Drosophila melanogaster: one gene and its partners. The protein of the gene in region 2 interacts with the protein of the main gene of each other region in a pairwise test. Each region holds a gene or a part of one and is shown on either strand. Other genes may lie near its edges.

Region 1 (8,658 bases), on a different chromosome or scaffold from region 2:
TTCATAAAAATATGTTATAAATGCTAAAATTTGTGGAAGGGTTTTCCTAAGATTTTTTTTATAATAAACTTCAAAAAGCTGATATGTTTGCGACATCAAGTTTCATTTCCGTATTGCTAGATTTTTAGAAAGAGGTTCTTATAGTCTAACAAGTGCTCCATTGATATGTATCGTTTTCGATTTGTGGATCAACAAGTTGAATGCATTAACTAAATTCCAACTAATTAGATAACATCGCTAATAAGCGGTCGTTTCCAGTTCGGGATAAGACTGGACATAGTGCTCTTCTTTTCATGTGTGGCATCTAAACTACTTATCACAGTTTTATAAAAGGGATCTCCTACTCATCACCTGGGCGGGCTGCTAAAATTCGCCAGTTTTTGGGGGATTCACAGAGCCACAGGCTTCCTTAAAATTGGTGGCATTCAGCGGACTGAAGTAATCTTCGTGCAGGAAGCGAATGATGTTCTCGATGGGACAGAGATCGGCTTTGTTGCCCCTGGAATCCCTGGTGACCCGTAGGCTTTTGCCTCCCTCGCAGAAATCGATCTGCTGCGTGACATCCTTTCCATTGTACACCACCCGGAAGTAGTAATCCGTGTGAGCGTCGCTCCGGTAAACTTCGAATGCTAGTCTGGAGGCATAGGCTATGGTTTGGCCCTGGTTGGTGATGATTCCCAGGGCAGCTGTAAGATACTGCATGGTGCAGTCGTGTCCAGAGTACAGGACAAACTTCGTCCTGTCGCCAGAGATCATCTTCAGCATGTAGCTGACTATGTGACGGATCATTCCGTAGGATCGCAGCAATCCGGATAGCTTGTAGTACGAGTGACCAGCGGAGCGTTGCGATAGTTCGTCCGCAAAGGACATCAGGGTATCCACGTGGCTGGGCTCGACGCAGCCCTCTTGAGCTTCATCCGCCTGCACTGAGGGATTCCCATTTTCCACCTCAGGGGAGTCGGGTTCCACCTGTGTTTGTGCCTCCTGGGGACAAGGTAACATGAAACCTTCAACATTGCAGGAGCTCTTCAATAGTTACCTGCATCAAGTTGGCAGCTGTTTCATCCTGATCTATATTGATCACATCCACCAGTTCCTGATTGGAGTTCTTTCTGAGGGGCTTTGGAGTGGAAAGCGCTTTTTTCCTGCGACATGGCAAGGTGGCGTCATGGCATAGAACTGTCAAAAGGGCATCCACCACCTCGAAGGGATTGCTAATGCCATTCGGCGTGTGCTGCAGTATGGTGCCTCCGATCCACTGCATCACATCCAGGACATCGCCACGTTTCAGGAGCTGCTTATCACCCATGGCCTCCAGACGTTTTCGCAGCAGAGCCGACTGAGGACAGCTGCACTCGCCGAAGCAGAAAGCCATGCTATGCGATTCCCGGACATTCAAAGCCAGCCACTTGTCCGCCGGAAGCAAGGTGAACAGCATGGCCAATGCGGACTGGAAGGTGCGACGATAGCGAGTGGTGAAGACCACCACTTCATCCGAATTAAGAAGCGTGTGGGGCGTCGTTTCCACAGAGGCTCGGTTCGGATTCGGTTTGAGCAGGAGACCCAGTGGATGAGCATAGACCTGGTGCATGATGTCGCCCACGTGTAGCAGCTGCGAGATTCCCCTGGTGAATGAAAAGTCAGGCGTATGATTAATAGCGGCATTGAATGCCGGTAGTGCATTCACTCACTTGTAGGTGAGCTGCCCCAGTGGACAACCACGTTCTGTGGCCGGCAGCAGTGGAAACCCATGGAACGGCCCCACCTTGTTCCAGTACATGTGATTTGATCCCGAAGCGGAGCTGCTCGAGTTATACAGAAAACTGCGATACCTAAAGCAAAACCACGTATCAATGAATAAATATTTCCGGAAATGTGATAGCCCACCTGTTGACCAAGTTATCTGAGCCACCACTCACGCCGCAGTTGATGCCAGCACTGCGAACGTGGGATATGGGTCCCCGATCCCCGTGCCTGATGACCAGGAGCACGCCCTGAAGCTTCCAACCCTCCAAGATGCCGCCATCATCCAAACGCTGCAGCTGAGCCAACGGAGCACAGCGTTCTCTGTACTTGGCGAATCGCTGGGCAGTGGAAGATGGCGAACTATCGCCGCCCAAGGAACTGACGGTGCCAGACGAACTGGGTCCGAAAACTGAGCCACCGCTTGGAGTCGACTCAACATTGCCCATGTAGCGATACATTCCTAAAAAGGATTATCAAAGGCAAGGATTAGCTATTTGCCTATGAATATAACAAAGCACGTCCTATTCGAGTGTTGACAACCATATTAACTAATTGGGTCAACTTAAGAAATCTTTTCTTAGATTTATATTGAGTATATATTGAATGTTTTCCCACGATTGCCATTAATCCGCTACTTTTCCACTTACCCGCTATAAGAAGGAATATCCAGACGCTGAGCAGCACATAGCAGTAGAAGGCTCTGTGTTGGGTGGCCACTCGCATCAGTTCCTTGAGCAGCCTCATCCTGGCCAGAAAGTCCGGCTCTTAACTGCTGCCCGCTAGCTCCACTGCTGCTCCTCGGCATCAACTCGTTGGGCGGCACTCCTGGAGGGTTTCTGTCGATACGATAGCTCTGATATACTCCTATCCAGTGCTTAAATTTCAGGCTAGAGCTCCGCTGCACGGGGATTGCTTTTTTAATGCTAAGTGTAGAAAAAACAAGGTTCAAGCGTTTACGTGGAGCACGACTAATTGGCAGGGCATGCGCAATGGAGGCCACATCGTTATCAGCTGTTGGCACAGAGGTGGTGGACAAAGGGGGAGTTTGAACAGCCAAGCCTATATTTTTATATATGTATATTAATAAGTAAAAGCCGTGTGGTGTTCAGAATAAGCTTAGCATCAAGCTAGAGTGCACTCTTTAATAACAATCATGGTGTTCCCAATACATATGCGGCTTTGGCTCAATGCGGAATAAATATGCGTAAACTATTGACCGGCTGAAAGGCGGGGCTTCGTTCGCCTTTGCAGCCTGGTTTAAAATATGTTGGATATATAAATATATAGTCTGGCAGATCCGGGATCTTGGTGGTTCTCAGTTATGGGATTAGTTCCACCCTATTGTTGTGCCGCGGTCAAGGCCAAAACGGTGAAGCGCACTTCGTTGGGATCGCGAGCCATGAACTCCTTGCAGACCTTGGCCGCATCCTTCACAAAAGTCTCCTCCGAAGTCGGTCCGTGCTTGATCGGGAAGGACTTGCGGCCATCCAGCTCGTACAGAGTACCCTCCTTGTTCACCAGTGCGATGAAGTGGTGGATCACCTTCTCATGATTGGCGGCATTCGTCTGGCCCTCTTGAGCCAAGGCCTCATGATCGGCGGTGAACTTCTCGTCTTTTTCGAGGGCCCGTCCGCGTTCCTCCGGGGACAAGGAAGCTGTCTTCTCCAGGAAGTCCTTCAGTACTCCGCGGTCAATGTCCACTCTGGGGAAAGATTACATTTTGTGATATATAAAGAGATACGATTATTAACGATCTTATATAGAAAAAACGTCACGAACTCACTCTTTGTTGTTGGCCACGCTGTGGATCAGGGCGACGGTTCCACAGGCGTTGTGGGTGAACTGGCGCATGTAGAAGAGATCCTCGGGATGCTGCTCCTCCACCTCCTTAATCCGATCGTGCTCCTCGGCGCGGTGCTTCTCATACTAAAAATGGAACCTGGTTGGCCAGGATAATAAGATAAGAAGGTCAAGCTAAACCTACGGTTTCGCTGCACGGGAAGAGCAAAATGAACGCCTTTACGGGACGCGGAATCCATTCCAAGGTGTCATCTTCCAATCCAATGACGTCAGTTACCGACCAGGCTGGCGACACGCCCAGTTTATGTATGTACTTGGTCAAAACCTGGAAAAGTGGGAATGGGAAGGTCTTAATGGCGTCTTTTAACTTTATTATCCAAATCCGACATTTTGGAACAAAGAAACAATGAATGTGCAAAAACTGGAAGTGCGGTAGGCAAAACCTTTACAGGTAAAGTCATTACCTCGGGATTAGATTCAAGTGGCGTCCAGGTTAACATATTTTTGAATTTGGCTTTAGCAGTGATCTGATTGAAAATTCACAGGAAAATGAAGGATTTCTACACACAATTACCGGCACTTTTGACGAGCTTTACTTTTTTCTGAATGTGGTGTGTGAACATTGATTTGGTCGAAACATATCGATTATAAGCTTTTCAATTGTGTGTATTAAAGCAATTGATTCATGTAATCGATTAAGATTAAATGAAATAAATGTCGAAATGTCCATTCCCCATTTAAATAGCTATAGTTCTATGCTAACATTGAATATATTCACTTATCGATATTAGAAACCATTAGTGTTGATAAACGCGTTGAACGTATTTCCCAAAGAGGAGGTGTGCATACACTAGCTGAAGTAAACAATATTGTTTACAAAATGACCAAAGCGAATAAAACGCCGCAAAAAGCAAGTGAACCGAATATAAATGGTTCCTTCACACCAGTTCGATGTAAGTTGGCTCCAAAGACAAAAAAGGTTATTATTTCTTTGCATCGTTTCCAGATTTGGACAGCCAGCGCCTGCAATCGCCCACGAGTCACGATGCGAATTTAGCCACCTGCAAAACCAGATTGGAAACAATAGTCAAACAACTCCAGGATAACTACGCTAAATGGCAGCTGGCCCATCAGCGGGGCACCTCTATTTGCTATACTATCGAAGCCAAGAAGACCAAGTGTCTGGAGAAAAGCCAGGATGAAGGCAGCTCCCTTTACCCAGATGATCTCCTACTTCCCTGCAACAAGTTGGCCATCATAGCCTCTATTTTCGGGGATATCGCAAATAATACAAAGGAGATACTAAGACAACTGAGAGGCATATTAAAATTACCGGGATCTGCAGCGGATACGATATTCTACAGGTCCTGGAAGTTGCAGCAATTCGTGGTTTTCGCGAAGGAGCTATCCGAAAGATATGAGAAGGAGGCTCTGGTCAAAATGGAAGTTGCCGGTAGGAATAATAAAGCTCCTCTTTGTCGAAAGCAGCCCCTTTAATACGTTTGAAAATTCAAAGAAGCACAGATTAATTTCTCAAATTCGATTTACCATCTTAAATATAATCATGTTACTTTTCTTATAGGTAACATTGCTCACTCGACTGAAAGAAGCCAGCTCATTGCGCACACAACTTTATGGGAATTTCCCGAGCACGTGGACTCCTATGTCCATCTGGGGTTTCTTCTCCTTGCCGAAGAAGTCAGTTTAAGGCAATAAATTAAACAATTTTTCAACTTAATACAACATATGGTTTCTATCAAATGTTCATGTTGGGCAGTAAAACTTCATTACAGCTTTAGATTAAGCGAATGCTTAAAGAAGTAATAAGTAAATTCTATAAACTTAGGTCCTATGAGAAAATCGGAATGTAACTATTAAATGCATCGTTGTGCGTTTTTTTTAAGTCTGAACGGAGATCCGCTCCAGTCGGGGAGCGCTGCGGAACTTGGTCCACCACCAGAACCAGGCGCACGAAAATCCCACAGCCAAGGTGGTGTAATACAAAATAGTAGCCAGGCTCCACTTCTTCTGCAATGCAAATTTGTATAAAGGAAAATAATTTCTTATTGCTTGCTATATTCACCTTCTTGTGACTCTCGTTGCCCTGCACTTTCTTCTGGCTCCTTGCGTTCTGGGCATTAGCTTCGATTTTCGCGAGATCCTTGGCAATCTCTTCGGTGATCTGATTCACGCTTTTTAGAGTTTCCTGGGCAAAGCAGCTGGCATATCGTTTGTCGCCCACCACGACGTCCTCGGGAGTGGAGACCTGCAGCTTGTAGTTGGTGGCCGCTAAAGAAGCGCGCAGGGACATAAAGTGGTTGCCAGCATTGCCCAGAATCTGATTGTTGTAGTTTTCGGCTTCAGGATGGTTGCAAATGTATTCGTAACTGGGATTCTGGTTGGGAATCTTTTCGAACATCTCCAGGAGCTGTTGCCGTTGCTTTCGACACTTGAACCCGAAGAGTTCCAAATCTTCGTCGGTGAGAGAGGCCAAATCCAGATAGTTAATGTTCTCGGCAATAAGTTTGTCCACACAGGTGCTGGCGTAGTCCGTTTCCACGCTGGTAGAGCACAGTAGACCGTTGAGGATCTCCCTCTCCCGGCGTGTGTCCCTGTGAGCCTTTTGGCGAACCCAAGGACGTCGATTGTAGCCCAGGAAAGCACTGTCCAATTCCTTCTGCTCGGTGTGCGAGTGAAAGTTCTTTGTGGCCTCAAACTGAATGGTCGGCGGAACCTTGGCCATCGCCACCAAGGGGACATCCCCCGCGGACATTGTGTGCGTCTTCGTTGCCATAAACTCTGTCAATAATGGCAATTAAATTACCATTAAAATGCAATTGCGCTTAGATTAGATTCGCTGTTAAGAATCGGACGTTTACGAGCACTGCGAGTAGGGGTGGTCAAGATTCCTAACAGATTATGTTAAAAGTAACAGAAGTAGTAAGGGCTCTGTAAACATTTAAAACGTGAATATTAACAATTTAGTAATTTTATTTCCTTTTTCCTATTTCGCATTCTTGTACGAATCGAATTTTCTTCTAATGAATCACCCTACCCAACCAATTAAGATTAAATGCTTAACATTTGTATTTAAAAAGTATAACAAATTGATAAATTGATGACGATTAAGCTTCCTAACTATCCTATTTCTCGGACGATGACCTGTAGATTGGGGCACTGGTGGTGGACGCCTCCTGGAGCTTCTTCATAAACAGAGCCTTTCGCTGCTCATCCGCACTCAGTTTGGTACTTGAAACGGAGGCTTTGATGCGCTCTAACTTGTCGACGTTCGGCTCGGTTAACACCATTAGGCCGTACCCCATTCCTCCGAAGCCAATCAGCCACAAAACGGACTTAAAGTAGGGATTACTAAGCATTTTGGAAGCGGTCTCCTCTAGTCGCTTTTCTTCAAAGCACTCCAATAACTCGCATCCGCCTGTCGCACTGTGCTGTCTCCGACGATTTCACCAATTTTGTAGTAATAGTCCAAAACGAAGGGATAGTTCTCGTGAATATGCTGACGAAACTCTAGGAGCGGATTGTTATTAACGATCAAAATAATTATATAAATATCCTCCCACCTCGATTCGTGTTCATGCGATAATAAACGCCGTAGCTGGCTGCGAAGCAGACTGCCTCGAGGACAAACAGTGTTTTGGCACTTCCTTTGATGAATTTCCAAATTGCAGGTTTTGGTGTTTTGCGCAGCATTTTAAGTGGGAGTTGTAAATATTAAACACGTTTGCTTTCTTACAAAAAAAAAAGGAAAACAAAATCACCTACCAGCTTATCGATAAAACGAATTATCGAACTGGGCCAGTGCTGGCTAACATGCGGCCAACAGCTGGTCGACCGGCTAGTGTGTGTGCGCCTCTTCTTCTTGCCATGTAGTGCAGTGTTTATCTCACGTTTTTGTTTTTGCAAACTGATAACGCGACGCAATTTAGTCTGTAGTGAAAATTGTTTTTTTTTACATCGATGGAAAATCGGCCACGATGAGCGGCAATACACACGGACTCAGCTGGTTTCCACATTTTCCCGACAAATTCGTATCCTGGGGCCAGGAAATCCATTTATACGAAGTGCGCCGCAAAGATGATCACAGCCAAAAAAGTAGGGTTTTCCCCAAGGGATTATGCCACTTTACTTAACCGCCCCCCTTGCAGGTCGCCTGCCTTATATATCCGTGAACTACCTCGCCAACGAGTCGCGCTATCAATATGCCCGCTGCGTGGCCGCCTCCTACCACAGTGACCAGCCCATAATTGCAGTGGGTCTGGCGGATGGCAAAGTCGGGATTTGCAACTTCCGGGACACCTACGACAGCAGCTGGGAGTACAGTGGGTGGACGACAACGCCGATTCTTAGCTGCATCTAATAGTTCTTCATTTCTCGTAGCACCGCGTCAGCAGCGCATGTGCACCTGCCTCGCCTGGAACGAGCTGGATGCCAATATCCTGGCCATTGGACACGATCGCCATCGAAATGACACCTGCATCACCATCTGGGACATTGAGCGTGGAGTTCCCAAGGAGACGGCCAACTTCTTCGGCGTCGGCGAGTCGGCCAACTCCATTTGCTGGGATCGAAATCATCGCACGGTCATTGCGGGAATGAGCCAGAAGATGATAAAGCTGTTCGATCTGAGGCGTGAGTACACATAATGCGACTGGTTATATTTCAACTACGTAGTATTACTTTATTGCCCTTTCACTGATGAAATCTTTAAATCCCTTTCGCAGAGAGTAACGCCACCTGTCAAAGCATTCAAACAAAGACAGTGCAGGGACTTTCCGTATCCCCCAATGGCAACTATCTCTGCAGCTATGTGGACTCGGTGATCACTCTGTGGGATCCGCGAAATATCAAGAGTCCCCTCAGGCAGATTCAGTCCTCGAAAAACCATTTGCAGATCGCTTGGTGTCCGACCAGGACAAGCCTGCTTTCCTCGCTGCAACGCGATTCCTCCTACATCACTCTCTACGACATCCGGAGTGTGGACACGGACAATTCCGGAGAGATCTACCACGTAAAACGACAGATTAGCCCCTTTCCGGCTAGATACCAGCACAGTGGAAAGTTTTCGTTTGTTAATTGCCTGTCGTGGCATTC
Region 2 (8,631 bases):
TCCACAGATTCCATCCGAGCAGTGATGGCAAATGATATTTCCCGGATAGTTGATAGCTAGCTAACTCATGCCCATAGTTTCAGAATCCCTCACTGATCGTGGATCGGATTGAATAATCCGAATGGACGTGGAGGTGCGGCTTCTGGTGCTCACGGGGTCAGAAGGTCAGTGGTATAAGCAAATGTAGCCAAGTAAACAATTGTTCTTAGCCAACTTTAATAGTGAAATAAAAATCGAAAGACGGAGCAATCCGGTGAAAACTAGAGGCCCATCATAGGTAACCGAATTGCAAACCAGATTAGGATCAATATATTTTGCAGCAAAGGAGTTGCGTAGGTGTTTTTTTTTTGTTTTTTTTTCTTCTACACAAGAGTACTTAGTGTAAATCGAGAAGAGTTCAAATTGATATCGCTACTTGGCCAACTTTGTGCCATATGTACACAGCAGGTTCAGGCGGAAGGTTTTATTCGATAAGTAGTACGTGCTATTGCTAACCTTAATTATGATTGCGATTGTGCATTATATTTGCAGGAGATCGACGTCTTAGGTAATAACCCCGTATGTTCCCGAAAACGAGCAACGTATTTATGTAGCTAAGCCAATGAAACAATTGTTAATTCTCACACAAAAAACCAAATACAAACGGACACTCTATAAAAAAAAAATGTTATACAGATTAACAAATGCAAGCAAGCTCACGCCCACTCATGCGATATGTTATGCAATAGTTAAGTTGCCAGTTGCACCTCGCGATCGATCAGATATATATTGTATTTGAATTATTGTTAATGCTTACACGGCCTGCGTTTAGCCCACTTTAACTATATCTATACTAATGTATAACTCTGTCCCGCTCCATTTCGATTCCCCATTTCCGATTATGTGCCTCACTCTCTCTTTCCCACACCCCCAAGAATATGTACTTCCAGTCGCATCCGATCCGGTTGCAGACTATATTCATATATTCATATATATATATATATATGCGCTTTATATATACCGCTCACCGGCTAATCTTCAATTATTTTGTCCGGCAAATGGATGGTCACTTTTTAAAATGCAACTTTTTACCTTTGCATAACTTTTTAGGCGACACAACGTAAGAGAATTAATTAAAAATGAAATGCAAAACTTAACTATGAAATACATATGTAAACTTTGTAGCTTCCTAATTGAATAAAGATAAATACAACTCACACGAATTTCGAACCATTTCATCATCGTCTTTTCATTTTGATGGAAGCACTTAAGTATATTTCTCGTTTTCACGTACTCTGTTAATTATTTACACTTTATAGTAGGTCATTACACATAAGTGGGCTTCTCAAGGTGTGAGAGATGTTTTACATATAATACTAGCACACGAGTCAAAATTCCGAATGCGGCGCTGTTCAATTTGTGGTCAAGTTGGAGTCCGATTCGGGTCTGGACAAAAGCGTGTGGTGGTCAGGTCCTGTATGCATGTATGTGCTATATGTGCTATCATATGCAGGCGGATGCGTGGAAGGGAGCATGGTGGGTGCGATGTGCTTGGTTGGTTGGTTGGTTGGTTGGACATGGTTCGTGGGCGGTGTTAGCGTTTGTCTTACAATTAAAATTCAGTACAAGTCTAAAAGCTACGACGGAGACGTGAGTGTGTAAGTGGGTATGGGTATGCTTAACAATGCCTAACATAAACACCTGAACAAAGGTGTGCGGCGTCTCCTTGTGCGCGTGCAAAGAGGCTGTCCTTAAGTCTACGCGGTTCTTGCGATTTATTGTAAATGTTGCTGTTTTACTGTTGCTCCTGTACTGCTCCTGTGCTGTACTGGCCGTCTATATCTAGTCCGGCAGATCGATGCTGACGAACGGAACCACCGGCTTGAGAATGTCATTCTTGGCCCCCTTCTTGCTCTTCTTGTCGTGCTTGTGGAACTCGTGCAGCTGCTCGCTGGCCGCCATGCTCGTCGAGGAGGACGCTGCGTCCAGCGGCATGGACTGTGCAGCATTGCTGTGGGTTTCCGGGTGATAGCTGATGTTGCCGTACTCCTGCAGGAACGGCATCGCGGACAACAGGAACTGGCTGAAAGACTTGCGGATGCCGAACCACCACATGTTGCCGCCCTTTGCCGAGGAGCTAAGAACTATTAGCGCCAGAATAGAGACGAGCAGCGGTGAGAAGACCACGATGTACGGGAACTTAAGCTCGCCGTCCAGCTTGTCGCAGATGACCACCTGGCGGAATAGATGGGTTAGCGATGCACAATCTTTTGGAGGGACTAGATGAGGTCTCACCTGAAAGCAGAGCAGTGGGAGCACCGTGCAGATGTTGCCCACCGCTGCGTTTAATGCCGCCTTCTTCTGCTGCAGCGAGACCTCCGGCGTACGCATCATGATGCCACAGAAGATGATGTTATACAATACGCTGACCAGGCTCAGGCATATGACGATCCACATGGGCACAAACACTACGTCCCAGTTCCAGTAGACAAAGCGATCCAGCTTTAGCGGCAGTGAAACAAACTGAAGCGCGTTGACCGCCAGGAAGAGCTCCAGCTCGAAGGAGCGATCGTGCTTGACGGCCCAGACACAGGCGCCCACACTAACCACCGAGCCGAAGATCAGCGGAATGAAGACCAGCACCCACAAGTGACGGTCCGAGGTCAGCTTATCGCAGGCCAGCAGCTCAAACATCAGCAGGATCAGGTGCAGGGCCAGTGAGATGAGCATCGCTTTGAACTGCGTGTAGGCATCGCCCTCGAGACGATAATGCGGATACCGACACCACACAATGGCTCCTACGATTGCGCCCAGGATGGCGGTGCATTTCCATATCCATAGCGGTGTGAAAATCGCCCAGTAGGGCCAATCTGGGATAAGGCATTCGATTAGACTAGGCTACTAGGCCAATTATAAGGTTAATGCCCTACAATAAATCTTGTTCAGTAATTAAAAATCTAAATATTTAGCTTAGATAAGTTATTTAAAATAGCGAGAGAACTAATATCCTCGTTAAGTGACCAAATTTGGATGATCCTCTATGGTCAGACGATTTCTTCGATATTGCTATATCCAATCTCATGATCTGCTTGCTAACCCTTGTATACAATAAATCTGGACTATTCTCTAGAAGAAGCGATGGTGCACCGTACACATATTTGTGTATGGGTCGTATATGCTTGTATTGTTATATGATTGTATTTTCTTGCATCCCCGTGCTATTTTAATTCTGGGTGACGTTGTGTATTCCAGAACTGCCACAGAAAAGTACCCACCAATGTAGTTGTCGAGGCGCAAGGCGAAGAGCGTGACAAAGATGAACAGGCTGCAGTGGACGATGAACTTGCTGAAAGGGAACATGGTCGATTATGTTTTAGATTGGGAACCCATGTGATCCGGTCGTCCGCAGTCGGAGGCTTCTCACCAGGGATTGAAGTCGCGGAACAGAGATTCCAGATTCATGTTGCTGAGGACACCATAGAGCTATGTCACTGGACACTTGGTACCTGGACACTAGTTGCTCGTGGGCACCCGCCGCACCGCGTCCGCTCCACGAAGCGATCTTCGCCCGAACAAGGCTGTGTGTTATGATGGAGTGGGGGGGCGGGGGCAGTTAGTACTCTACGCCTGGCGCCGATCTTTCACCCCTTTCCCTGTAGATATTCTGTTCTTTGTTTTATTTACACACTTTTTTGACTGGCATTTCTGTCCCGAGATTCGATATCGATAACTCTTGCCTGCTCTGGCGATTGGCTTGACTAAGGACTAGCCAGATGTCTGGCTACAATTCGCCAGATTTCCGGCTACGCTAGCCTGCTATCGATAGCCTCGATAGGCACAGGAAAATGTTATCTTATTTGGAAGATTTGAAGGAAAACGAGGACCAGCTGCGGGATTCAGACTGCTGCGGCAATGGCTGCACCAACTGCATCCTCGACAACAAGCCACGGCCAAGCAAACGCGTCCTGCTGGCTGGCAAACGCAACGTGATCCTGAGCTACACGAAGTTCCGCCTGTTGCGGCGGGAAGCGCTGGGACCCAATGGACAGTTGCTGCTCCTGCACTTTGCTCATGCAGCAGAGGAGGGGGACGGCGATGGAGCGGTGGACACGGTGCTTGACATCCCGCCCGGCCACCATGTGATGCTGCGCGTCGGCTCCCTGCTGCGTCCGTATTCGCCCTATTGGAGCGACTTTGTGGCCAAAGAGTTCCGTATCCTGGTGAAGCTGCAGCCGGAGGGGCCAATGTCTCGGCACCTGCAAGCCGTACAGCCCGACGATCTGCTGGAATTCCGTGGTCCCATCGGGCAATACGTACACGAACCGCAGCCGGCCAAGTGCATCTATATTATCGCCCAGGGAGTTGCTATTGCACCCACTCTGCCGCTGGTTCGGCAGGTGCTGGACAACGAGGAGGATATGAGTCGCCTGTGGCATTTGGTGTGCGCTCACGACCTGCTGCATGTCTACTTCCGCGAGGAGATGCTCGAGTTCGCCCAGTTCTGGAACTACAGGAGCTGCCTCTACCTGCCGCATCAGCAGTGTGACTCCTCCGCTTGCCAGGAGGCGGGCCACTGTGCCCAGCAGTGCCCTCAGCTCCGGGACAATCTACGCTACAAGGAGACGGCAAAGGTGTCCCGATTAGATGCCACCGAACTGGCCACCCACCTCAATCCCGCGATTCCCGGACAGCGTGTCCTCATCGTGGCTGGAGATTCAAGTTTTCAAAAGAACATCGCCCAAATAGCAACACAATCATTGGACGTAGATCCGGCAAACATTTATATGTTGTAAATGCCGGGAAAAACTGTAGTTGCTTATAAATATTTGAATATTGTTAATGAATTTGTGATCGTACTGGTTATACCGAGGGTTTTATATTTTTTATACCCTAGATTCGTTGAAAAGTATGTAACAGACAGAAGATATACATATATTCTAGATCTGGATCAATAGCCGAGTTGTTCTGGCCATGTCCGTCTGTCCGTATGAACGTCGAGATCTTAGGTACTATAAATGCTAGAAGGCTATCACGCCCACTCTAACGCCCACAAACCGCACAAAACTGCCACGACCACACTTTTAATAAATGTGTTGATATTTTTTCACATTTTGATTAGTCTTCATTAATTTCTATCGACTTGCAAACAACGTTTTGCTACGTCCACTCGAACGCCCAAAACTGCCACGCCCACATTTTTGAAATATTTTTAAATTATTTTATAAGTCGTGTAAGTTTCTATCGATTTAAAAAAAACTTTGGCACGCCCACTCTAACGCCCTAAAACCGCCCAAACCTGCCGCGCCCACATTTTTGAAATTTTTTTTGGATATTTTTTAATAATTTTATTAGTCGTGTAAATTTCTATCGATTTACAATTTTTTTTTTGCCACACCCAGTCTAACGCCCTAAAGCGGCCATAACTGCCACGCCCACACTTTTGAACAATTTTTATTCCCCAATATCTATCGATATACCAGAAAAATTCAGAAATTTCGCGTTCGCATTCACACTAGCTGAGTAAAGGGTATCTGATAGTCGGGGAACTTGACTATAGCATTCTCTCTAGTTGGCATTTGAAACTTTTACATGTTTTCTATACTTCCAATTAAGCATTTGAGTGTACCGAAAATGGAATGTGTACTTCCATAAAGGAGGAGGAGTTCACTTCTTCATCATCAGTAATACAGGTAACTCCAACTACTTCTACTGTTTTGCCCACACTTGCTACTTTTAATTGGTTATAGGGCATCTATACTTATCGCTGCTAAATGAACATATGGTTTTGGCCATCCAGGTGGCTCTTCAATCCATTTCGCTGTCGGCAAATCATTTACTTTGTTAAAATCTGAGCATTGCAGTTGCAATTCTCATACCAAATGTATCGATCGGGATTTAATTGTCTTTAAAAAAGCCGACTGGTTTTCGCTGTAATTAATACAATTGAGCGTCTGGTTATTCACTGGATGAATCGAAAGGAAACATTATGAATCCAATTGCCATTAAACATTCTCTATGGTCATCTTTTTATTTGACCTCCTGTGTCCACAACATGGTTATGATTCCATTTGACTATTAGTGATCCAATCTAATTCAAGTCATACCAAGTGGATGATATTTTAGGAATCAACCCAATTGGTGTTCAGATTGGAATAATCTGAACACCAATTTGAACATACCCTGTACCTTGATTTTGAGAAACAAATGTGTTTGTGCCTTAACAATTCGTTATTTCGAAACATTCTTTACAAAATAATTTGAATTACTTACAAACAATAAAAAGGATAATTTTATTTTGAAGCAAACTTATTGTTACAAGACAAAAACGAAAAAAAAAATAAAGTAATTTAACTTAAATACTGTGAGTTGATTCAAGATCTTTTAACATTTTCTTCATGGATGGATAATGATAATGGATAAAGTCAATTTGGAGATCTGCTCCAGTTATATTATAAATCCTCGGGCTTCGGAGGTTTTTTCAGTCCTGTAGCTTCAGGCTCTTAATGTAGTCAATGAGTAGCTTGGGGTGCACATGTTTGATCTCCTGAACAGGCACGGCTTCCCCCCACTTGGATCCCTTCCAGGTGACAATGAAGTAGACCGTGTCACCAAGCATATAGCTGTACATAACATTCTCAATTGCTTTGCCGCGGACCAGGAGCGCATCCGTAGGCGGCACGTTCAACGGTTGGGACTCATTGGAATTGCCGCCATCGAGATTCCCTGACACGCTGCCACCGTTGGTTGCATCCAGTTCTGCCTGTTGTACCAACAACTCGACGAGCAGCCGAGCCAGCTCTGCCCGAGCCGAATTGTGAACTCCCATGTGCTTTGGAGGCGGCGTCGAACCGGCCTCCTTGGATTCATCCTTTGTCGGCTCTTCCTGCACTTCCTCCTGCTGATCGTTCTCCTTCTGCTGATCGTTCTCCTTCTGCTGATCGTTCTCCTTCTGCTTTTCCTCCTCCGCGGGGAAACCACCTGTGTTCTTGTTGTTGGGGCTGTTTTCTTTGTCCGCCATCGTTTAGCAATAAAGTTCTCTTGCAAAAGTAAACCAAATGAATTCACGTGCAATCGTTAAATGAAAAATGGCGGCAAGTTTCCGATTGCTGAAGCTGCCAGCTAGTGCGAATTGCATTTATTAAAAAAAAAAAAAAAATGAATAAGACATTAATATTTTCAAACTCTGGCAACGCCCTAGATTCAAATCATAGGTTGGTTTTCGGCCAAGCGTCCAGTGCGTCTAAAACTATGTTATCTGACTTTTCTGGCGATTGCTTAAGTTCCGGTGGCGGGCCCATCAAGTGGGCATATTTGGCCAGATACGGAGTAAGCAGCTCCATGGGCAGAGGAAAGATAATGGTGGAGTTCTTCTCGGCGGAGATGCTGCTCAGGGTTTGCAAGTAGCGCAGCTGTGATGACAGAAAAATTCGAATGGCTGGTAATCCGTGCTCAACGATTGATTTCAGCTTTTACTAGGACAACACCCACCTGCAAGGCCGATGGACTGGCGGAAATGACATCGGATGCCTCCTTGAGCGCTGTGGCGGACTTCTTCTCACCCTCGGCGGCGATCACCTTGGCACGAGCATCACGAGCTGCCTCCGCTTCGGCGGCCATGGCACGCTGCATGGAAACGGGCAGGGAGACATCCTTGCTGTCAGCGGGTGAAGTGCATACAACGTACAGATGTTAAGAAATACTGATCTGATCTGATGGATGTCAAATGCCTACTAAATGGCTACTTACATCTCAACGCGCTCCACCATGACGCCCCACGGCTCGGTGGCCTCGTCCAACGTGGCCTGCATATTGTGGGCCAGGGTTTCGCGCTCGGTTAGCAGTTCGGACAGGTTGCGAGTGCCGACGATATTTCGGAGCGTGGTGGCCGCCAGGAGGCGAGTGGACATGCTGTAGTCCTCGACCTGGATGACCGCATAAAGGGGATCACTGATGCGATAGTAGACAACGGCGTCCACAGTGACCGTCACGGAATCCTTCGTCAGCATCTCCTGCTGCGGCACATTGAAGGTAACCGTGCGCAGGTCCACCTTGCGGTACTCATCGATGCACGGCAGGATGAAGAACATGCCGGGACCACGAGCTCCGCCGCTCAGTCTGCCCAGCCGGAAGATGATCGCCCGCTCGTACTCCGCCACCACCTTGAAGCATATGAAGATGGCGATGGGCGATGTGATGATGAAGATCAGCACGGAGAACAGGGTGACCACCCATTCCATGCAGCCCTTGGGCTCGTTCTCCGCTGCAATGGGATGTTAGGAATATGAATATGAAATATTCATCTACAAAATGGCCATATTTCAGGCATATGTGTACAATAATTGTGCCGCAAGAGAAACGTAGATAAGTCCACTTCAATTCGATGGCCAAGATGAAGTACCTTCTTTGTCCGGATTCCGAAGAGACCAACTTATTATTAAGTAAAACAGGACTATGATGGACTATGTAACAACTTGAAAAAGAGAAAGCTGTGAAAAGCAATAGCCATCACAATCAAAAAAAAGAAAACACGGATAAACACCAATCAGCCCGCTTATCTTGGAGTCCAATAAAAATTCCTACGATTAAAAATATAGACAGGTGTAATATATATGCGCCAATACAATTAGAATGTTGTAGCAATTGACGATTATG
Region 3 (13,278 bases), 2.6 Mb from region 2:
GCCTATTGCAGCCCAGGCATCGTCGAATGCCATAGAACAGGACGACCAGAACGAGGGAGATCAGCGAGGAGGCAATGGGCACGACCAGGACGAGATCCAGTTGCGGCTGCTGCAGCTGACTGGATTGCAGCAGCACAATGGGCATGGTCATGTTCAGCACGCTGGCCTCGATGGCCAAAGTTAGTGCGTCGGTGGAGGATCGGCAAAGGATCTTGGACAGCAGATAAGTGGATAGATAGCCGGCGAGGGGCAGACATACGGCAGCTACAAGAATCTATAGGTCCATATAGGTCAAAATTAGTTGTTGCCATTTCGAATTGTATATCAAATGGGGAACGGCACTCACCTGCCAGGTGAACTCGTAGAAGACGAACGAGTTGAGACCCACCGTCAGGCCCACGAGGCACAAGCTGAGTACGACGGACAGTGGCTTCAGGAAGCGAAAGATGAACCTAGTGGTCCGCGGAAGGCAGAGTCGCAGCAGCACACCGATGGCCAGACAGGCCACCAGGGCAGCTGCTCCTCCGGAAAGCTGGCCAAACGGCACTGTTAGCTCATCGTCCTCGTAGAGTATCCGGCCCAGAACCAATATCCAAATGGGCAGCAAGGCCAGGGCCAGCAGGCTATTGATCGTGGTGGTGGCCACAGAAAGATTGATATTTCCCTTAAGGAAGACGGCGCACACATTGGCCAGTCCGCCACTGGGCGAAAGTGCCGTATAGAACAGGGCCAGCTGGAGTGGCCAACTGTCTGGCCAAAGAGCACGACCCAGTCCGAATCCCACGGCGGGCATCAGCACAAATCGACTGACCACACCCACCACAGGTCCCACCGGTCGGCAGATGATGCCCGCCAGGCGCTGCATATCCAATACTGTTCCGAGATTGAGAAACATCAGCAGAGCCAAGGCGGCGGACACATAGGTGGTGATGCGTTCGTCCACCACCTGTGTTCTGAGCACTGTTATTGGCAGGGGTTTTGGATATGTCTCCGTCACCGCACCGGACTTCAGTTCCACCTCCAGTGAACTGTATCCAAAGCGAACTCCAGTCACATATAGCGCTCCCCGCCAGCTGCCCAACAGATCGAAATCCTCCTTCTTTATCTCCAGCGGTGGCGATGACGCCCTCCGATCATCCTTGGAGTACACCACAAAGTAGTAATCCAGCGAAGAGTCCTTCGGTAACACATTGTATATGTGCAAATCCACGCTCCAAGTCGAATCCTCAAAAAAATTCAGCTCGTCTCGATCATAATCCACCAGCCAATTGCCGGCCAGGTCGCCATACTCAGATCGGACACCTTGCAATCCCAGAATCATCAGCACTCCCACCGCCACAAGCAGCCGTCCGATATTTTTATTCACATTGCCCATGCTGCGTCGTTACACCAACTGACCAACAACTCTGACTACTCCGACGAATCCGAGTGCTGGAGTGGGTCGTGGATCACAAAGAGGCTTTATCTGGCCATCGAGCAGACGGTTCGATTTGCTCTTATCGGACGGGCTCAGGTGCGAACCGGAGGTGTGAATAATAATATGAATAAATCAGGTTGGTTTGTAAATGTAAAGGTCTTGGTGGGAATTTCTAATTCAATTGAGTGCATCTTATCGTCGTTGTGGGCAATGATAAGCATATTAACTTAGCGTATCTATGGGAAAGTCGAACGAACAATGGGTCAACAAAAAACTAAAGCAAAGAAGAAAAGGAGCAGAAATAATAAAAATAAATAAAATCTATAAAAATGCTGAAATATTATCAATTCAAATTTAGTTCATTTTTCAAAAATTTCAATTGTTTTATTTTTTAAAACCTGTGACTGTACAAATCCGCTACCTGCTTGTCTAAGTTATATTGGGAATTCCTTTGTTTGTTGTTATTTCGCATTGCAATATATTGCACTTTGTTTAGATGAGCTCTAAACAATTTGCTACTGATTACGGCCACAAAGAAGGCGAATTGTTAAAATAACATTTCGATCGGGGGCAATAAATTGCTTGGCTGGCTGTGGGAACTTCGAAGTCACCCGGTAATAAAACGCTTTAAGATTGGTTGGGTTTGTTTCTGTTTTTATTATACCCATTATTCGTGGAGTAAAAGGGTAGACTAGATCCGTTGAAAGTTATGTAACAGGCAGAAGGAAGCGTTTCCGACCATATTATATATATATATATATATATTCTTGATCAGGATCAATAGCCGAATCAATCTGGCCGCATGAACGTCTCGATCTTGGGAGCTATAAAAGCAAGAATGTTGAAGATTAAGCATGCATCTTCCAGACCCATGTTGCCACGCCCACATCTGTCACGGCCACAGTTTTGAAAAATGCTTTGTTATTTTTGTATATTTTTATTAGTCTTGTAAATTTTTTAACGATTTGATACGACACACTTTAACGCCCAAAACTGAAGCGGCCACACTTTTGAAAAAACTCACCTATTAATATTACCCAATTACCTAAAATCTATTCATATCACAGAAAAATGATGAAATTTCTTTTTCGCATTTCCACTAGCTGAGTAACAGGTATCTGATAGTCGGGAACTCGACTAAAGCACTCTCTCTTGTCTTGGTTTGCATTTGTATTTATTTGCACTTGTCTATTGAAAGTTAGCCGCACCTGAGAAAGTGCAACATTGATTTATATTGTTCAAAAGGGTGAGGAAAGGTTAATTAAGGAGACCTAATTGGTGTATAAGGAAGCGGATACCTATTTTGTCAAAGGCTCGGGAAAAGTTCAATGATATTATAGAGAGGTGGCCCTTTGGAGAGAGAGCAATCTTCTTGTTAGTCAAGTTGTAGTCTTGTAGCAGTTTTTGTGACTTTAATTTAGGAAAGACTAAGCTAACTTTATAATCTAGAGGAATGTTGGAGAATTTAGGATATCACAGTTTTCATTTTTGGATAGCTTCTTTAATTGCACTTCGATACTTTGCGTTGGGCTTTTTAAACTCTTTTAATATGTTTGTTGTGTTTATGGTCCTTTTAATGATCAAGAAAGTTTCTGCTTCTAACACGGAACTGCATGGATAAGGGGGCAAGTTGAAGGCAAGAAGAGCACGAAGCATAAAGGTAGCAAACAATGCCCCTCCGGATGTCGAGGTGCTCGCCATAAACATAATTTGAATCTTTGGATGCTGGGTGGCTTACCTAGACCGATCGCGATCTAAAGACAGAGGTGGCTCTCCTCTGCGAGCCGTACAAGGCTAAGGCCAGTAACAAGTGGGTTTTAGACCGAACAAGCATAGCAGCCATATGCGGGAAGGTAGAGGTGATCAGAGGTTGAGATCCAGGTCGAAATCGGCACAAGAGCACTCGACAGCCAGGAAGCAGCCTCATACGGCCTACCGACAGGACACCATGAGACTGAAGGAGTTAGACGGCTCTCTTCACTAGCTGACAATCGACGAGGCAGACTGGGCGAACGCAGCAGCGGATAAAATGGCAGCGAAGTTGGAGGAGACCATTACCACTTGGCAGATAAGCGGAGACGTGTCAAGCTGACCACTTGCGGCCGGTCACGTAGCCCAAGATTCTGGCGGCTGCGAGAAGCCTCAAAACCAGAAAGAAATCAGGACCCGATCGGATCCCATAGAAGGCAACCAAGGCAAGCACCCTGCCGAACCCTTCTCGTAAAGACCCATCTGCCTTCGAGAAGGTGATCGCGGCGAGGCTCAACACAGCAATATCGGCTGCATGGGGACTTTCTACAAACCAGTACGGATTCCGGAAAGAATTGTCGACGCTGGACGCGATCTCCACGGTCACTTGGTTTTTAGGTAGCAGGTTACTTGCTGCACGCCGTAGGTAGCTACTTCAGCAATCGGGTGCTTGTCCTCGAATCGACATCGAGATCCAGAAAGTTCGGGTTCATGTCCGGAGTCTCACATGGCTCTACAGTTTGCTTTTCCGGAAAGCACCAAGATCGTGAGGTTCCAAATCTTTGGTGCCCCTAATGCGAAGCAATGCTTTGCGGCAGTACCTTATCCGGTTTCACATCTCTACTAACATCGAGGCTGTATAATAAATTGTTACGTAGTTATGGTATATATGTAAGTAAAGAAATAACAAAAAAAAAAAAAATGGCGTTGCATGTGAAGCTTATCTTTGTGTTTTCTAGTATTTGGCAGATCCTGTTCCGTTTGTTCCTTTTTTTTTGGCTTTCCTGTCGCCTGTCTTGCATCCAGTCCCTCTACTTTGAACAGGCTATTTAGGGGGACCTGTTTGAGATCACTAGTTTCTATGACATCTCCTGGGGACTCCTGGGTCTGTTATCCAGTTCTTATGTGCTTCTTGGACAAGAACTGTAAGTCCAGAGTCTTCTGTGGCACGTTTGTAGTTTTTAGGGCGTCATGGATCATATGCGCTTCAGTCTCATCGGTGGGCTTCAACACTTCTGTTTCAGTGCTTAATTCGGAGTTTGCGGTCGGCGAAGGTGTTTTTTGCTCTTTACCTTCACCGGGGGAACCTACAGTGGTCCCCTTCTCGTTAAATTCGTGTGTAGCCATCGTGGAAGTTTCGGAATTCACGCTTTCAGTTTCTGATCCTGTGCGAACGAGCTGTGAACATGGCTGTCCGGCTGCTTTTGCAGATTTCGCCATTTTGAGGTCCTTCAATAACTTCATTTTGGCTATAATCGAGCTGCACTCTATCATGTCGTTGGGCCCGCTAACCACATTCTCTAGCTCTTCCTTGCTGAAACTCCATATGTCGGCGATCGGCTTAAATCCTTTCGTTTCGTTGGTAAACATGGGTCGTGACTTCATCAGCTCGGCAATTGTACGCTTTTGTTGATTTTGCGGCTGAACTGCGATTTTTGGCTGCTCCGCGACGACGGGCTGTGTAACAAAGTGATTACCCGATGCCTCTGGAAAGATCGATCGTCGCCCACCGCTCACTTTTCGATCCAATTCAGGCAAATTGGCTTTGGCTGCAATGGCTGCGGCTCTAATCCGATTCAGGTGGCCATTTCTGGTGTAGCAGTGCTCCGAATCGCTTGAGGAAGTCTCATCCCCGTCTTTCGAAAACATTACTGCTTTTTGTTTTCGAGACTGGACTGCGATTCTTGGCTGCTCGTTGACGATGGACCGTGTAGAAAAGTGCTTATTCGATGTCTCTGGAGAGGAGATTTCAGACAATTTGGCCTTGGCTGCAATGGCTGCGGCTCTCATCTGAGTCCGGCGGCCATTTCCTGTGTAACAGGGCTCCGAATCACTTGAGGAAACCTCATCCTCTTCTTTCGAAAACAATACTGTTTTTTGTTTTTTAGGCTGGACGGCGATTTTTGGCTGTTCCTTGACGACGGGCTGTGTAGAAAAGCGCCTATTCGATGTCTCTGGAAAGGACATTTCAGACAATTTGATATTGGCTGCAATGGCTGCGGCTCTAATCCCAGTCCGGCGACCATTAGCTTTGGATGCAATGGCTGCGGCTCTAATCTGTGTTCGGCGGCCATTTCCTGTGTAGCTGGGCTCCGAATCACTTGAGGCAGCCTCTTCCTCGTCTTCCGAAACTGTGGGATTTAAAATTCAATTCATTAGTTTGACTGAATCTAATCTTATATGAAAGTTGCTCAAAGAAAAAAGATTTCGTTGCTAACCTTCATACCAACATTTGCGTTTTGCGTGTCGCCGCATTTTCAGCTCCTTGGCTTTCTCTGCTTTATCATGCACTGCTGGTGTTGATTCAGCCTTTCCAGCTGCATTCGAGAGATTAGTCTCATTTTCGTAGCCCTCTTCTATGGTGCCATAGTCCAACTGTGGTCGATCCCTGTACTTGGCATAGTCGATCTGGAGATACTTCAAGTCGTCGCATGATTCGGCCATGTTAAGAGACACAAATTTTCTCTTCAGGTCCTGGCTTTTGAGTAGGGCACTGCAACGCTCGTCTAGCGTTTGCCAATCGAGAGCCCATGAGTATTGTTTATGTCGCGGTTGGAAGACCACGGTCAGAAGATCCTTGGTCATGTTGCTGGGTAGACGCAACGCCTTCAGCGACTCGTTTATTGGATCGTAGTCGGACACTGGATCTTCATGGTTTGTTATGGTCATAATCTGGTGCACATCGATGGTGGAGCTCAGCAGTTCGTACTTGACGTTGCCAATCGCTGGAGCAGGGAGCCCGCCCTCCTCCTGTCGATTTTTCATGATCCACGAACAGCGCTTTACTTCGTTATAATTTGATGATGTGGGGTGGAGGTAGAAAGCAGTCAGCCAGAATTCTGCCTCCATAAATCCATGGTCAGAGAACAATTTGGCTAGGTCAGCATAGTTTGCAGACATCTTTTGCTCCAAATCGAGCATAAAATCAACGGTTAACCCGGGATGATATCTCCACATTTCTAATGCATTTATTTGTTGCCCAATAATTTTCAGCAGCAGAGCAATCTTAGCAAATCTCCAGCCTGAAAAATTCTAAATTAAAAAAGCGCGGTGCTTAGTAAAGTTTTCGCTTTTGTTAGTTCTCATCACTTACCCGCTCTGCCAGCAATTTGTACACAAAGCTCAAAACTTCCTCATTGTTTGGTACATTTTGAAAAACCGGATCTACTTGTCTATCTTGTTCTTCGCCCACCTCAGGCTGAATCTTTTCGTCGTCATCACTGTTCTTGTAGTTGCTTATGTTGCTGGCTCGATTTCCCTTGCATATCTGCTGCTTGTAGTTGAGAATTAGGTTTACTAGATGCGGTTCAATGCAGCTGTTTCGCTGTTGTTCCATCTTCTTGAGCTCGTTTAGAAGAAAGCGCTCGCTGCTCTCGCGCTCCTCTACATAGCGATCCATTAGCTTTTTGAACTGTGGCAGGTGCTCCAGGAAATCGTGCTCGTTAAGCGACTGAAGATCCATCAATAAATTTCCCAGCACATAGCTGGAGTAGGCATCTAGTATGACGGCAAATGAAGTGACCATACATAGATTGAATTTCCTAAATGCAATTTTCTCAAAAAACGCATTCTTTCCGAGTCGAAGACGGACGCAAACGCGGGCAATAAGCCGAGCTGGCGTAAAGTTAATATCATGTGAGCTCGAAAATTCCTCCATGATCTGGACATAGAACCCTATGTTGTACATCTACGAGGTGGTTTTATGACGACATTTAGTTTTGTTATGTTAGTTACATGATGAATGTTTTCCTTACCAAATTATCAATCACAAAGCCTTGATTATCATCCCTAACAAAAGCGGCCAAGAGGCATACATGACCGATTAGTGTAATTGTGTTTTCATCCCCTTTAAAGGACACAAATGGTGCATTTTCGTGGATTTTCAGCCAAGCAGCTAGCATCCGAAGCGCCAGCTGTTTTACAGCCTCAAAGTTGCCGGCGTTAAAGAGCTGGATTAGTCGCAGCAGGGCCAGAGATACCCCTTCCTGCATGAGGAAAGCAACATCTAAGAAATAAGGCAATGATTAGATGAATCCTTGACGAAAATTAGTAATGGCTTACCTTCTCCTGATGCCGCTTGAACTTTGTGTTCGATGCCGTGTTGTTTATTCAGCTCCAGGTTAAGAAATAGCTGATGCAGGTAGGGCAGGCTCCAGGGCTTCGTCTGGAACTGCAGAACGTACGACCAGTTGATATTGGCCAGTTCACCAATCTGATGGAATGCCGGCATTGCTTTGGTGAGGGTGTAGAGCAAAAGCTGCTTGAGGCCTTCGGAGCAGGTCTTCCACTCTTGGCTAAACCACATCAGCAGCGAGTGGTAGACCAAAACCCTGACCATGTGACGCAGCGCTGGGTCCTTTAGCGACTCGGAATCCCTGGTAGGCAGGTGGCACACCTCCCATCCGTAGAGTAACTGCGACAACCGGTCATCGCCCATTAGCTCAAACACATCCAAAGCGCTGTGCTTATTGCAGAATACAAACATTTTCTATAAAACCAAGATTTAAGCAATGAAAACGTGTGCATAAGGATTTATGTACAAAGCAAGTCCTTACCGCCGAAAACTCGTCGTACTCTAGTTTCCTCGCACAATCCAGAAACTTTTGTTCATCGTGCACATCCTGAGAAAATATTATATCCATTTTGCAGCACTTAATTCATGGCAATGCTATGTCAAGTCGATTTCCTTTTTTTTGCCGGTTTCGATTTATTTTAATTTAGCTTGAAAGTTGCAACGAACAACAGCTGAACCCGATTACTGTAAATCGATGTTAATCGAAAGGGGCAACGCTGTCTACACGAGGTTCATATACTCGCTAAACTGTAAGGCTAGGCGTATTTGCTAAATGTGGAAGGTGCATTCGCTAAGGCCATTGTTGCCAACTGAAATTTTATTATGCAGGCAAAAGTAATTTAAAAATTTATTTGAAAGAAACAAGAATACAAAACACTTACTATAGACCAGAAGGGTATACGAGATTCGTTGGTAATTACATATATATGTAACAAGTAGAAGGAAGCGTTTCCGACCACATAAAAGTATATATATTCTTGATCACGATCAATAGCGTTTCCGACCATATAAAAGTATATATATTCTTGATCAGGACCAATAGCCGAGTCAATCTGGACGTGTCCGTCCGCATGAAAGTCGAGATCTCAAGAACTGTTTGTTGACCCATGTTGCCGCGCCCACAAACCGCCCAAAACGGGCATGCCCTCACTTTTAAAAAAAAGTTTTGAATTTTTTCATATTTTTATTAGTCTCTTAAATTTCTATCCATTTGCCAAACAACTCTTTTCGGGTATCTGATAGTCGGGGAATTCGACTATAGCATGCTCTCTTGTTGTCATTTTTGTTTTGTTTTTAATTTGGCAAAAAAAAAACCATAAAAAAGTCGTATGCGATTTAGTTTTAGACTACAGTATACAGTACACATCATACATAATTACGTTTATTGCATTCACTTACATAATTGGCATTCCACATTCATTTTACATATACGGATATATGTATATGGATCACACATATGTATATGTATATACTATTCATCATATGCCGATAGTTGCGACCCCAACAATCATCAAATTGCAACTAACTAGAAAAGGCAGGTAAGGAAATTAAATCAAATTTAACACTTCGACTGATGGTACTTTCGATTATGGGGCAACGTAAATGCGTAATCTTGTGACTTCGATTATCTGTATCTTTATGGGTAGGTAACTTCATCTTTATCTAGTTGGAGACAATCCAGAAATGCTTACTTTAAGGTCGAGTGTCGGGAGGCGAGACGGGATCGAATCAATCAGTGTATTTAGTTAACGACCGAACTCGCGCTTTCTCCTTCTGTGCTATGCAACTTCCTCGTTATATTTCCTCTGTCTCTGTCTCTGTCTTAACACACACACGATTTTAGTAGCTGCTACTAGCAGACTTGGCCTAGTTAATACTTAATGTGAAATACTCGCTGGAAATGAAACATTTTGCGTTTACAAAAATATCGCCGCACTCGAGGTGCTTTGAATTTATATATGTATATATATATAGTTATATATGCGTATTCATTAAAGAAAAGGGCTTTTGGGTTTGAATTTTAGACGTAATTATAAACAATTAAACACACTAATGCAGGGTTACACAATTTAGGCGACTATCGAATTAAAGTTTTCGCGCTCAAAGAAATATTACATTATATTGTACGGGGATAACGACCAGTGACGACATGTCTGCGATTATAGATAATCTAAGGGCAAGTGGACCAATCCTGCTCAACAGACACGCCCACTCGCACAGGCACACACAAAAAAAAAAACATATATAGACGGATATATCACGTAAATCTGAAAGGTTTAAACCTATAGAAAATAGAGAAAAGAAATCTATCACTTTTTTATCCTATTTCTTGCGGTCCGCACACACACACACACTGATTTCGCATCCATCCGCCTCTAGTGACTGATCTTTTGCAGCTTTTGCAATACTTTGAGACCCTGTTCCTGATACTCCTGCTTGGACATCCAGAAGCCGTCGCGATCCTTTGTCACCTCCGCCAGAACAGCTCCGCCGATAAAGACCATATCCTTGCGTCGCGGTGGATCCTCAATGCGTATTTTGAATTTCTGCAATGTAATCGTTCAATTTGTTAAACACGATGTGCATTGATTAGCTTTACTTGACAACTTACCGCCAGCTTTTCCGTATCGTTCTTGAGTACCCGCTCCAGGTACAGCTGTTTGATCTCACGCTCCAGCCGACTGGGAAGACCCGGATACATGGTGGAGCCGCCGGACAGAACTATGTGCTTGTAGAGTTCGGGCCGTATGTCGATGTCTGCCGCCTGGATGGTGTTGAAGGCCAGTTCCGCAATGCCCGGTCCCTCGACGTTGATCAAATGCGGCTGGAACAGAGCCTCTGGCGCCTCAAATCTCTCGCCACCGACCTTGATAACACGACCGTCGGGTAGCGTGTACGATTCCACCAGCACCGTCGTCTCCAGGGCCAAACGCTGCTCCATCTCGATGTCGTAGCCAATGTAGCAGAGCTTCTCCTTCATTATGCGAACCGTTTCGAAGTCGGCGGAATGATTGAAAGCGTAGCCACGTAGTAACAGTAACTAATGATCATAGATAGATGCGAAAGTATAAGTCACAGTTTGGCTATATGTAATTGTAAGGCAAAGCAACCTTAATCAAATAGCGAGTGATATCCCGACCGGCAATGTCCAATCGTCGCGTCAGATGGGGCAGGGCAAACTCCTCGTAGACGGGACATATATGCGTTACACCATCGCCCGAATCGATCACCACGCCAGAGATCAGACCCTGGGCATATAGCGTCAGCACGGCCTGGATGGCAATGTACGCCGAATCGAAGCCATATTTCTCGAACATCACCTGTGAACACAAACACAACAATGTTAGTTTGAAGTGGGATTTTAAAATATGGTATGACCTCACCTCAATCATCTTCTCGCGATTCTTTGTGGGATTCATGGGCGGCTCGGTTAGCAGGATTTTTGTGTTCGTCGGATCGATGTCCATCTTTTTGGGACCGAACGTGTAGTCCCACACGTGGCACATGTCGTCCCAGTTGCGCACCACACCGTTCTCCATCGGATAGGAGACCTCCAGCAGGGATCGCAGCTGTGAGGCCTCATCGCCGACCATCAGATCCTGTAAATTCGTTCGTCAGAGGACGCAGCGTTAGTGTCCGTGGCTTGGTCAATGGATAGCCATTGGGATTCGGATTGGTTTGGACTGTTTGGTTGGTTGGATGGTTGATTGGTTGGGTATTTGCTTAGAGGCTGGGATGGTTAGTCATTAGTGTGGGAGACATACACAGGTGTTAGGCACAATAACAGCGAGCACACTACAAGAATGCAACTAAACTCGTCTAAACAATCAACGATTAACAAGAGGCAGCAGTGAGTGTGAGTAGTTGCGGAAAAGGACTTGCCTTTCCGGAACACTGGCAAACACAGGGACGTGCAAAACAAACGGGGGATTAAAATAGGGCTAAGCAGACACAGGACATCATGCAGACGAGAACACATAACAATTTCAAATCAGCAAATCACAATTAAAACGAGAAGCAACTGAATTTGGTTGCCTTAAGATATGTACAAAAAAAACCAAAGGGTGTAAGCTAGGAAACAAATGGTATGAAAACATAGGAGTAAAACTTAAATAACAAAAATTATATTTACGTAAATTTGTCGTTAAATTGAACAGATTCGATTGGAATTCGGTTTTAAACACGCCTCAGATTTATCCGATATGAGAATTAATAGATTTGTTTTTTTTTTTAATTTTTTTTTTTCGATTGTGGATTTTGTCGATTTTGTGGATGGAGTACAATTATAGATGATGGCCAAAAGGAAGCAACAAGATAGTTGGACGGGGCCGGAATATAGTTGGGAAAATATTCAAGGCAAACAACTAGTGAAAAATGTGAACAGTTAACAGTTAAGTTAATTAATTAATTAAATCCTAAGTGCGCAGCTTGAACTTCAAAAAAATTTCGCAATATTTTGCCAAGCGTGTGTTATTTTGGTTTTTGGTATTTTCGTATTGTGTCAATCGTATACAAATTTTTATTATTTTATGTTTACTTGGTGATTAGATTTCTGGTAGTGGTAGTTTGGATTTTGGTTTTTTTTTTAACTATACAAACTTGACTTACATCGACATGTAAATCCTGCAAAACATTTGTTTTTAAAAATATATGTGAAAAAAAGAACAGAAAAATGTATAAGAATATTAAAAAAGAACAGAAAGATTACAATTTTAAAAATATTTATTTTCTGTATCGTTTTTTTTTTTATTGCTATTCAAGATGTGTTCTTAATGATTCTTAATTTGATGTTTCTTCTGTCTAAAGTAAAGAACTTCTAAGTAAGATCTATATATCGAAAATCAAGTGATGCACTCAAAAAAAAAAAAAGCTTAATGTCTGCGGGGTTCAGCCTCCATATCCACAGTTTATTAAGCTATGCCTAAACCTTGGTTAAAATCAGATATCCACGGACCAACTTTTAGCATGATATATTTACCATAATATATATTTATATATTTTGTATGCATGTGTATAATAATATGAGGGCCCACACACCGAGACCAATGCAACTCAAGCAAAAATGCAATATTGGGATAAGTGACCCCCAGAAGTGATGAAATCAAGATGGTAAATGAAACGATATGCGAATGGGGTAGATCGAAAACAAATTATATAGAAGTAAGTAGATATGCGACACTAATAGACAGAATAGAAAATAGAGCAATTCCACTCCAAAATCAGATGGGTTAGGGGTGAAAAAATATGGTGGGTAATTTGGTGGATAGTGAACTTCTATGCGCTAAATGTATTTCTTGCCGTTTAACTAGTCATGGAGTAGTTACATCGAAAAAAAAAATGATATAATATATGGATATTCGTGTATTTGATGGCCTGTGCACAATTGAATTTGTGTAGTGTATATGGTTGTACTATCTCATCATATTGTTAATTAATTTTAGATACTTTAATTGGTAAGTACGATGGATCATACCTTGACTTCGATATCGCCGATTTTGTTGACCGCCCGAATCATGGGTCGTCCCACCATCGAGGGAAAAATGTGGGTGGGGAAATTGCTGCCGGCATATCCGCACTTAACGAACTGAAAAATAAATGGAGATGTCATAAATACATATATTTATATTATGGTGTATGTGGAAACACATTAAAATAATATGACAGCCGACATATGTACATATATTATTATTTGAGTTAAGCCCTAACACGTAATATGATAATTTAAAATGCTTTTGTATCAACAGGTACTTAAAAATTGCACATAATAATAATAAATAATTATTTTTAATCATTTTGTTTAAGACCAGCTATATCATTT

What was found.
Region 1: the proteins of HP1D3csd (region 2) and CG34174 interact in a two-hybrid assay, tested with the Drosophila melanogaster proteins (one large-scale study listed by BioGRID).
Region 3: the proteins of HP1D3csd (region 2) and CG9902 interact in a two-hybrid assay, tested with the Drosophila melanogaster proteins (one large-scale study listed by BioGRID).

What each region holds. Positions count from the first base shown.
Region 1 is NT_033779.5:2,209,886-2,218,543, forward strand, and holds CG34174 (uncharacterized protein), read left to right. Parts: upstream 1-4,380; 5' UTR 4,381-4,426; coding exon 4,427-4,499; intron 4,500-4,552; coding exon 4,553-4,999; intron 5,000-5,086; exon of another isoform or gene 5,087-5,128; coding exon 5,129-5,262; 3' UTR 5,263-5,282; downstream 5,283-8,658. Other genes in the region: CG15385 (uncharacterized protein), read right to left, coding at 364-984, 1,040-1,625, 1,692-1,832, 1,888-2,206, 2,394-2,490; Uch (ubiquitin carboxy-terminal hydrolase), read right to left, coding at 3,085-3,448, 3,530-3,672, 3,731-3,871, 4,011-4,046; daed (daedalus), read right to left, coding at 5,446-5,574, 5,630-6,340; CG15386 (uncharacterized protein), read right to left, coding at 6,690-6,923; CG42371 (uncharacterized protein), read right to left, coding at 6,941-7,074, 7,128-7,257; mio (missing oocyte), read left to right, coding at 7,542-7,659, 7,713-7,886, 7,945-8,196, 8,289-8,658.
Region 2 is NC_004354.4:19,188,642-19,197,272, reverse strand, and holds HP1D3csd (heterochromatin protein 1D3 chromoshadow domain), read right to left. Parts: upstream 7,060-8,631; 5' UTR 6,998-7,059; coding exon 6,458-6,997; 3' UTR 6,244-6,457; downstream 1-6,243. Other genes in the region: CG14194 (uncharacterized protein), read right to left, coding at 1,822-2,214, 2,275-2,849, 3,255-3,325, 3,404-3,441; CG7914 (uncharacterized protein), read left to right, coding at 3,825-4,772; Mec2, read right to left, coding at 7,185-7,388, 7,468-7,633, 7,726-8,239.
Region 3 is NC_004354.4:16,539,407-16,552,684, forward strand, and holds CG9902 (uncharacterized protein), read right to left. Parts: upstream 8,115-13,278; 5' UTR 8,029-8,114; coding exon 7,942-8,028; intron 7,875-7,941; coding exon 7,448-7,874; intron 7,392-7,447; coding exon 7,141-7,391; intron 7,074-7,140; coding exon 6,480-7,073; intron 6,419-6,479; coding exon 5,605-6,418; intron 5,518-5,604; coding exon 4,277-5,517; 3' UTR 2,718-4,276; downstream 1-2,717. Other genes in the region: CG9903 (uncharacterized protein), read right to left, coding at 1-274, 347-1,375; Arp2 (Actin-related protein 2), read right to left, coding at 9,836-10,006, 10,072-10,500, 10,571-10,780, 10,844-11,059, 12,069-12,083, 12,934-13,044.